Xenopus tropicalis: one gene and its partner. The protein of the gene in region 1 binds, or shares a complex with, the protein of each later gene. Links are inferred from orthologs where the notes say so. Each region holds a gene or a part of one and is shown in the gene's direction. Other genes may lie near its edges.

Evidence for each region.
Region 2: the proteins of rab11fip1 (region 1) and rab14 are in contact, whole or in part, in a crystal structure (PDB 4D0G), measured with the Homo sapiens proteins. The link is inferred for Xenopus tropicalis from reciprocal best matches to the Homo sapiens genes RAB11FIP1 and RAB14. Residues at the interface, in NP_001002814.2 of Homo sapiens: Glu1252, Ile1255, Asp1256, Asn1257, Leu1259, Val1260, Met1263, Pro1267, Asn1268, Leu1270, Arg1271, Ile1272; in NP_057406.2 of Homo sapiens: Leu28, His29, Ile44, Gly45, Val46, Glu47, Phe48, Gly49, Trp65, Arg72, Arg74, Ala75, Val76, Ser79, Tyr80.

Annotation. Positions count from the first base shown.
Region 1 is NC_030679.2:118,972,986-118,977,492, forward strand, and holds the start of rab11fip1 (rab11 family-interacting protein 1), read left to right. Parts: upstream 1-1,464; 5' UTR 1,465-1,695; coding exon 1,696-2,045; intron 2,046-4,507. UniProt on the Homo sapiens protein: A Rab11 effector protein involved in the endosomal recycling process. Also involved in controlling membrane trafficking along the phagocytic pathway and in phagocytosis. Interaction with RAB14 may function in the process of neurite formation.
Region 2 is NC_030684.2:9,741,756-9,746,075, forward strand, and holds the start of rab14 (ras-related protein Rab-14), read left to right. Parts: upstream 1-1,212; 5' UTR 1,213-1,385; intron 1,386-4,320.

The DNA of each region.
Region 1 (4,507 bases):
GTGATCAATTGTTTTGGGAATTTATGTAAAAACACATGTAACCCCTTTTCGGCTGTAATCAAGCCAACAGCACGGCTAGTGTAGATTTAGAGCATGGGGTACATACGACTCAATCCTTCAGGATGGGCCTTCGCTATATGGAAGTGACCAATTGAGCTACGGTGTAATGCAACTACAACTCACTGTAGCTGTGTGCAGTGCAGAAAAACAAATGGGTGCCAGAAGGTTCTTTGTGGTAAACCAAAGTGTAACTTGTTTATTGTCCAAGAAAATAATTCACAGGGTTATAGCAATACTCACACAGAGGAGATATCAGGCAATTGCACAGAAGGTAGAAAAATATGGTGTCCACCCGTATAGCCCACATCGGCCGAGGGTGGGGAAGGTAAGGACCACCAACCAGCACTACCTCCCTGTGGAGAGTAGCCTGGCCCAGTATCTGTATCCTCAGGGTGTCCCTTAGCAGCCAATGATCCCTCACAGCTAACTATGGATCAGAGATAGGAACTGAAATGGTACCTGCGTCTTAACTGTGGCCCTGCTCTAAGGCAACAATGCCTGTAGGGAAGAATACTTCCAGCTAATCTCTCCTGGTTGGAGCCGAAACTGCTCTTTCTAACTAATCTCACTATCTCACTCCTAGAAAGTGCTCTTTATAAATTATCCTGATACTCCCTACTCCTCATTCACAGGGTCCCTGTCCCCGACATCACTAGAGCTAGATGCAGCCTCTAGGGTAGAAGGCTTTACTGGGGCCCTGTTGATCCCAGGCTCAGTGTAACTTCCACCAGGGTCAGCAGATGCAGCCAAAGAGGAAGACCCACTCCCCTGCTAAGACTATATCAGAGTGCCAATAAGACACATATGCAAAACTATAAACTGATACATGGGTCTTTGCCCAGTAACAGCACAGACTAAAGGTGGCCACAAACGTGGCGATTTTCGATCTTTTGTGTGACCATTGGCCATTTCGTGCGATATCATCGGTTGCGTGTATGGCGAGCTGAAGGAAAGTTGTAGGGTTTAAAGCCATAGCGACATTAACCCTATGGGTCCCTACACAAATTTTCTTGGTACAGTATTTATAATCATATATAAGCAAAGTGCAGACTTATCAAAGTGTGAAATTACAGCTCACTCCTTCCTATGGGATTTTCAGACGCGTTACTTCCCCTCTGATAAAAACTCTTCTAAAAATCTCATAGGATTGAACAGAATTACTTTCGACAGTGAGCTCTAATATAAAATTATATTTTTACCAGTAGGTAAGTATTCCTATTTAAGAGACTGCAATATGTACCAACATATATTATCACCCAGCTCATAGGTACAAGCCAATACTTCGTGAGAACCTGGCCTGCGTTCCAAGACTCGTTTCTGTATTACACCTGTTTGTGGGCGGGTCCTGGTGCCAGAGGCGGCCCTAAAAATTATATAAAAAAAAAAAGTATGCAACTCAGCTTCGCTCCTATTGGTCACCGTGTGCCAAACAGTTTGACGGTGGAGCAAAAAGTTCCTAAGCAACGTTGGTAGGCGGCGGACTGCCTCTCACACTTACCCCTCCGCGAACGAGAGGCCGAGTCTCATGGGAGCACCGCCTACGTATTCACTAGTTTATATTTCGTCGGTACCGCCCCATTTCCTCATATAGTGAAGTAAAGTACTGCAGGTGAAGGCAGCGCACCGCCGGCAAAGATGTCTCTAGCTCAGCAGTCCCAGACCTGGTTCCCTACTCACGTCCAGGTAACCGTATTACAGGCTAAAGGCTTGAAGCCCAAAGGCAAAGCGGGCAGCAACGATGCGTACGCCATCATCCAGCTGGGCAAAGAGAAGTACTCCACCACTGTGGCCGAGAAGAGCCAGGCTCCCGTGTGGAAGGAGGAGGCCACCTTCGAAGTGCCCCTGTTACACAATGATAACCAGGAGCGCTGCACCGTGAGAGTTATAGTTATGCACCGAGCCCTGGTGGGGATGGACAAGTTCCTGGGGCAGTTGGAGCTCAACCTGTGGGAGTTGCACCAGAGCAGGAACAGGAGGAAAGTCCAGTAAGTATTGGCTTGTAGTGTTCAACTACTCTTCCCAGCAGCCCCTATCAAACCAACTGCTGTGATGTCCCCAACAGCCAATAAACAGGGGCCCCTATAGTTACATATCCATCAGAGTGCAGAATGCTCGTACAGATGATAAATCACTTGTCCCTGCACAGATGCACGTCTGTCTGTCTAAAGGCCCCCATACACGGGCCGACTATAGCTGCCGATATTGGTCCCTTGGACCGATTCGGCAGCTGATCGGCCCGTGTATGGGCAGAACAGAGCGGCCTGGCCGACCGATATCTGGCCTGAAATTGGCCAGATCTCGATCGGCCAGGTTAGAAAATCCAGTCTGATCGGGGACTGCATCGGCTCGTTGATGCGGTCCCCGAACCGATTGCCCCATAACCACAAATGTAATCCGATCGTTTGGCCCCAGGGCCAAATGATCGGATTATTTTTTTTTAAGTTACTTGCTACCTGATATCGCCCACCCGTAGGTGGGGTTATCGGGTGAAGAGGATCTTATAGTGTATGGGCACCTTAAGGGCGAAGACACACAGAGCTACTTAGTAGCAGCTACTTGTCACAGCTACCAAACACCAGAAAATCCCCTGCCATAGACAATACAGAGAATTGCCTCTGCTAAAACACACGTAGAGACAATTATCAGTAAATGATCAGCATTGTCTGTTTTAGTAGCCATGACAAGTAGCTGCTACTAGTAGATCTGTGTGTCTTCACCCTAATGGGTGCTGTGGGAACTTGGTACCCTTGTAACAAACTAGGTTTGTGAATAAAGTGATAGTGTGACTTTTGAAGTAAATTGTCTCAACAAGGGCTCTGGCACACGGGGAGACTAGTCGCCCGGGACTGTGTCTCGGGCGACTAATCTCCCCCAAATGCCATCCCACCGGGGATGTAAATCGCCGGTGGGATGGCATACGCGGTCGCAAGTTTCCTCTCGAAGCAACTTGCGTGATTTCATTGAAATCGTGCCGCCGCGCATGCCATCCCACCGGCGATTTACATTTTCGGTGGTGGGATGGCAATCCAGGGAGATTAGTCGCTGTGAACAGGGAGTTTTGTCGCGGGCGACTAATCTTCCCGTGTGCCAGAGCCCTAATAGTAGCAAAAAGTCCTTTTGATTGTGTCATCATTAAGGGTGAAGACACTCAGAGCTACTAGTAGCAGCTACTTGTCATGGCTACTGAAATAGACAATGCTGATTATTTACTGATAATTGTCTCTATGTGTGCTTTACAAAGGCAATTCTCAGTATTGTCTATGGCAGGGTATTTGCTGGAGTTTAGTAGAGATGAAAAAGATGCCATCCCACCGGCGAACATGTAAGTCGCCAGCGGGATGGCAGACACGGCGGCGCGATTTCGCGCAAATCGCCGAAAAAGACTCCTGAAATCGCCCCGCCGCGTCTGCCATCCTGCCGGCGACTTACATGTTCGCCGGTGGGATGGCAGGGGTAGGCAACTCGGGGAGATTAGTCGCCCGCAAACAGGGAGTTTTGCCGCGGGCGACTAATCTCCCCGTGTGCCAGAGCCCTAAAAGTCGTGAGGCTGAACCCTAAACAAGCGGAGATACTGCAGCTGTCATGGGACTAGATCAGTTAGACAGAATATTGCATCCCACTTAGTACAGTGTGTTTCCAGTGATTCTGTAATGTATTCACTAAGTCGTTGCTAAGCTTTCCAAAGCTGGCCGTACACAAGAAGATCTGCTTGTTTGGCGAGATTGCCAAAAAAGCTGATCTTTTCCCTGACAGCCTAGAACGATTGTTTGGCCATAGGGGAATACGAGTTATTGAAGTGATGGGAAATCGGTCGGGTAGGCCTGTCGGAGGGTCCAATACATGGGCAGAAAGACTTCTGAATTGGTCTGAAGGGCCTTAATCAGCAGCTTAAAGGTGGCCATACACGCTAAGATCCAGTCACTTGGCAAGGTTGCCAAGCGAGCGGATCTTCTCCCAATATCCCCACCTATGGGTGGGTGATAGCGGGCTAATTCGATTGTTTGGCCCTGGGGCCAAACGATCGAATTAGAATGACGGGTATAGGGGGTCAGTCGGTTCTGGGACTGCATCGAGCCGATGTGGTCCCTGATCCGACTGGCTGATTTCAGGCCAGATGTTGGTTGGGCAGGCCCGTCATTAGTGCCCATACACGGGTCGATAAGCTGCCGAATCGGTCTAAGGGACCAATATCGGCAGCTAGAATTGCCCCGTGTATGGCCATCTTAACTCTTTCTGTTTATGGCCACCTTTAGCCTACAAGCAATGCAATAGAATAGGAAATAGAAAGTTTTAGAAAGTAAATAGGGTTGATTCTGTTATAGTTTAGTGGAGCCTTATATAGGTCTTGGCATGCATACTTGTGCACCTCTCTATTTTTGGAATGCCTTTTGCGGGACCTTTTAGACTCCTCCTTCTGCAGTTTGGGAGATTCCTGTGGTGGTTTGTG
Region 2 (4,320 bases), on another chromosome or scaffold:
CCGGGCCTGCCGGTACCTGGTTATGAGCCCTGTATAAAGACTGTTCCAATGAGTAGGGGCTAGAACCAAAAAGATGTCTAGCAACTACTTCCCTATACCCCCCTTAGCCCTAAGCGTAAGAACCCATGGAGTGGTTGAGTCGCCCGCGATAGATCTCTACAAAAGGTTTCCCATCAGCAACAATAGAAGTCACCGGTGTAAAGCCCTTCACATCGATTCGGTAATCCGAAGCCGCGGGTGACTTAACCGCTCCGTGGGTTCTTACCCTAACACTGCAATTTTTGGTACCGTTAGTCAAGTACAAATTGGCGGAGCTATTTCACGTTACCACGTTAGTCTATATGAAATGAAGGCCAGCTGTGGTTGGCCAATTTTATCGGTAAGGTTCTGCAGCCAGTGGTGTAACTCGATGTTACTGGGCCCCAAAACATTGGTAAATTGACCTTTTCACCAAGTTATATAAAAATTGCTCATTATTAGGGCTTTACGGGGTCCTCTGCACTCCTGGGCCCCCCTGCAACCGCAGGGTCTGCTTCTTCCATAGTTACGCCCCTGTCTGCAGCAGCCATGGTGGGTTTTTTTTACCACAGAATGTTAGGATGAGCATCAATCCCAGAATTCCCTGGGCTGACTTGGGTCTGTAATGAGGAGCAAAAGGGCTTGTACTGGATTCCCAAGAGGTTCTGAAGCAGTTAATAGAGTACTGTAGGTTCTAACCACAGAATACTACAGCAAGAGGTTGCATTAGTTTCCTCCACAAAAGAAGTGCAAGCTCTTGGACGTGTTGTGAGGCAACATGGCAGGCCTTGTGTCTGTACAGAGTAAGTCTTGCAAGGGCACCTTTATTACCACACAATATTAGGATAACATAACTCTCTAATCTAAAAGTGTATATAAAGCAATGGGACCTGTTTATGTACAAGATGGGACATATTTTTACCACAGAAAAGCAAACTATGCGCCCTGACACCATTTCAGGCGCTGTGACGTTTCCAGTAACTAAGGCAGGCGCGCCCCCGCCGCTTCCCCACGTCACCATTTCTCCGCAACACGTGACCCCACCCCGCCCCGTACCCCTGCGTGAAATGAAGCGCGCTCCCGGGCGCGCCCCCCGCCCCGCTGGCCCCACCCCTCTGTCTCTTCCCGTCGGCCCGTGACGGCTGTTCCGGGAAACCCCGTGCAATCGCCGCCGCCATCTTGGAGTGAGGGGAAGAAACCCCGAGCAGCCAGGGTAACCGCACTGAGAAGGAAGGGGGGAGCCAGAGAGCGGCTTCCGGAGGGTGACAGGAATACTCACACACACAGGGAGCCGGCAGCACGGAAGGGAGGGGCTGTCACACCGAACCCGCCCAGGCTCCGCACCGTCCGACACCGCTCCCACTCAGGTAAGCCTCCGGGGGAACCGGCACCTTTATCCGCCCATACCCGGGCCCTCACCTTTATCCGCCCATACCCGGGCCCTCACCTTTATCCGCCCATACCCGGGCCCTCACCTTTATCCGCCCATACCCGGGCCCTCACCTTTATCCGCCCATACCCGGGCCCTCACCTTTATCCGCCCATACCCGGGCCCTCACCTTTATCCGCCCATACCCGGGCCCTCACCTTTATCCGCCCATACCCGGGCCCTCACCTTTATCCGCCCATACCCGGGCCCTCACCTTTATCCGCCCATACCCGGGCCCTCACCTTTATCCGCCCATACCCGGGCCCTCACCTTTATCCGCCCATACCCGGGCCCTCACTCACCCCCTGGGCTGTGTTTCCCTGACACCCCGGCTGCACCCCCCCCCCCCCATTGCTCCTTTCTGCCCCTTGTCATCCCTACAGCCTGTGTCTGTCTGCGCCTGTCAGTGCCCCCCTGCCTGGCTGTAACTGCCCCTGCCTGGCTGTAACTGCCCCTGCCTGGCTGTAACTGCCCCTGCCTGGCTGTAACTGCCCCTGCCTGGCTGTAACTGCCCCTGCCTGCGTCCCACTGCACTCTCCATCTCTCATTGCACCAGTCTGTTTGTAATTGCCCCAGTGTGCCCTTACTTGCCCCATTCTATTCACATTTGCCTCTGCCATCATCCTGGTCTTGGTCTTAATACCCCTACCATCACCCTATTGCCCCTGCCTGCACACATCTACCCCTTGCCCTCCTCTGCCATCTCCCCACTGAACCCATCCCTCTGCACCCCCCCATCCCTCTGCACCCCCCCATCCCTCTGCACCCCCCCATCCCTCTGCACCCCCCCATCCCTCTGCACCCCCCCATCCCTCTGAACCCCCCCATCCCTCTGCACCATTAGTTACTCTTCCTCCTATCATTGTATCCTAGGCACAGTACTGCCCCTGCCTACTCACCCCATATAACCCTCTGCCCCCCTACTGCCCCTGCCTACTCACCCCATATAACCCTCTGCCCCCCTACTGCCCCTGCCGCAACCCACCTTATCCTCTGCCCCCCTACTGCCCCTGCCTCACCCCACATAACCCTCTGCACCCCTGTTGCCCCATCTCACCCCTTATTATCCTCTGCCCCCCTACTGCCCCTGCCTCACCCCATCTTATCCTCTGCCCCTGCTGGTAGTACTCAGTGCAGCCAGGTACCCCTGCTCCCCCCCAGAGCAGTGTCCCCTTGCAGCTCAGCACCCCGCCATTCCAGTTTACACCCCTGGGATCCCTCATTATCCACTTGCAGTATCATCTCTCTGTGTGCCCCCTACTACCCCTTTTGTCTCCCTTCTGCCCCCCCATGGGGCCATTTGTCCCATGCTGCAGTACAGCCGGGCCCTGCCGCCTCATTGTGCCAGAGCTTGGGGCAGGTGATGCCCATACACGCGGGCAGGGAGGGGTTTGTTGCCATTGCCTCGCTGGCCCAGTTCTTGGGATCCCTGCACTGCACAGCTATTGTGTAAGCAAGGCCTCCTCGGTACATCCCCCCCCCCTCCCTCCCGTAGCCATTCCACCCTCCGTATCATCGCTCCCCCATTCTCTGGGGGTGATTCAGCCTTACTCCCCCTGTATGTAGGTCCTGCAGCCCCCCTCCCTTCCCCCGAATATCCCCTTGTGATTGGGTGCAGGCCGGGCCCCATGCAGGCTGTATCTGTATATAGCAGTCTGTGTCAGTGCTAGCCCTATTGTACACGCCGCAGGATTACAGGAGCCCTGGGGATCTCGGAGAGAGGGGTTGGCAGATTCCGGAAGAACCAGATCCCGTGACCCTTCTCTTGTTTATTCTCCCAGTGCTAGCCGGCTAGTGTCAGGCCTGGTCGGGCTTTGGCCTCTCGTCTGTCACCGGCCTTATTTATCTACTGTGTTATTTTCCAGCCATTGTCCTGCCTCTGATATTAACCCTTTGTGCCCCCGCAGGTTTAACCCTTTATAGCAGCCTTTGTAGTCCCTTTGTTGTTGTGCAGATGAATGTGATGCTTTAGGGATTCCCTGCAAAGCACCCTCGGCAGTTGTTTGTGTCAGAAGCAGAATATTTGTCTCCGATTCACCTCACGTCATTGGCAATGTTACCGATTTGGAATAATAATACACATAAATCTGTTTATAAGGGATGCTTGCTCTAATGAGCTTACCTTATCCTCAAAGGCATTAAAAACAGTGACCTCTGGTGGACAGATTTGCATGAAAACTCTGCTTTTATTGAGCAAAAACCTTTGGGCAAAGCATCTTTTGGTCCCTGGGGTACCACTGGGGCATTTCGGAACCATGTAAACCCATAGGTACTAGTAATTACCATTGGGTTGTTCTGGTCTTGATGGGTTGCATAGGGGCCTTCAGTGTTAGATTTGTTGGGCGGGAGGTTACGAGAGAGTGTCGTGGCAGATCTATCTGTTAAAGTTACATTTAAAGGGGAAGTCTGACTTTCAGTCACTTTTTCTGGTTGTTTACATGCACTATAGTGTTCCCACTGATACATTAACACCTGCCTTTCCTCTAATGTTGCTGAGAAACGTAACTACTTTATTTAGGAAATTGGAACAGATCGGAGGGTCTGCCTCCTGACGTAAACGGCTACGAGGAAGCGCCGGAGGGATGAAACGAAAGCTAAATTGCTTTTAAATTGGATACATTGTAAACAATAATAATAGAAACAAACTGAGATATGTCACTGTTTCTACAGTTCTGCTAGAATGGGAAGTACCTTAATTTGCTTATAGGTATATGGTTATAGATATTTTTGTGCAAAAGGAATTGCAGTATAATGTACTGTTGCCCTGCACTGGTACAGCTGGGGTGTTTGCTACGCAAACCCTACTATAGAACACCTCAGCTGTACCAGTGCAGGAATGGCTGCCCCCGGGGCTACACAGTGGGGTATTTATA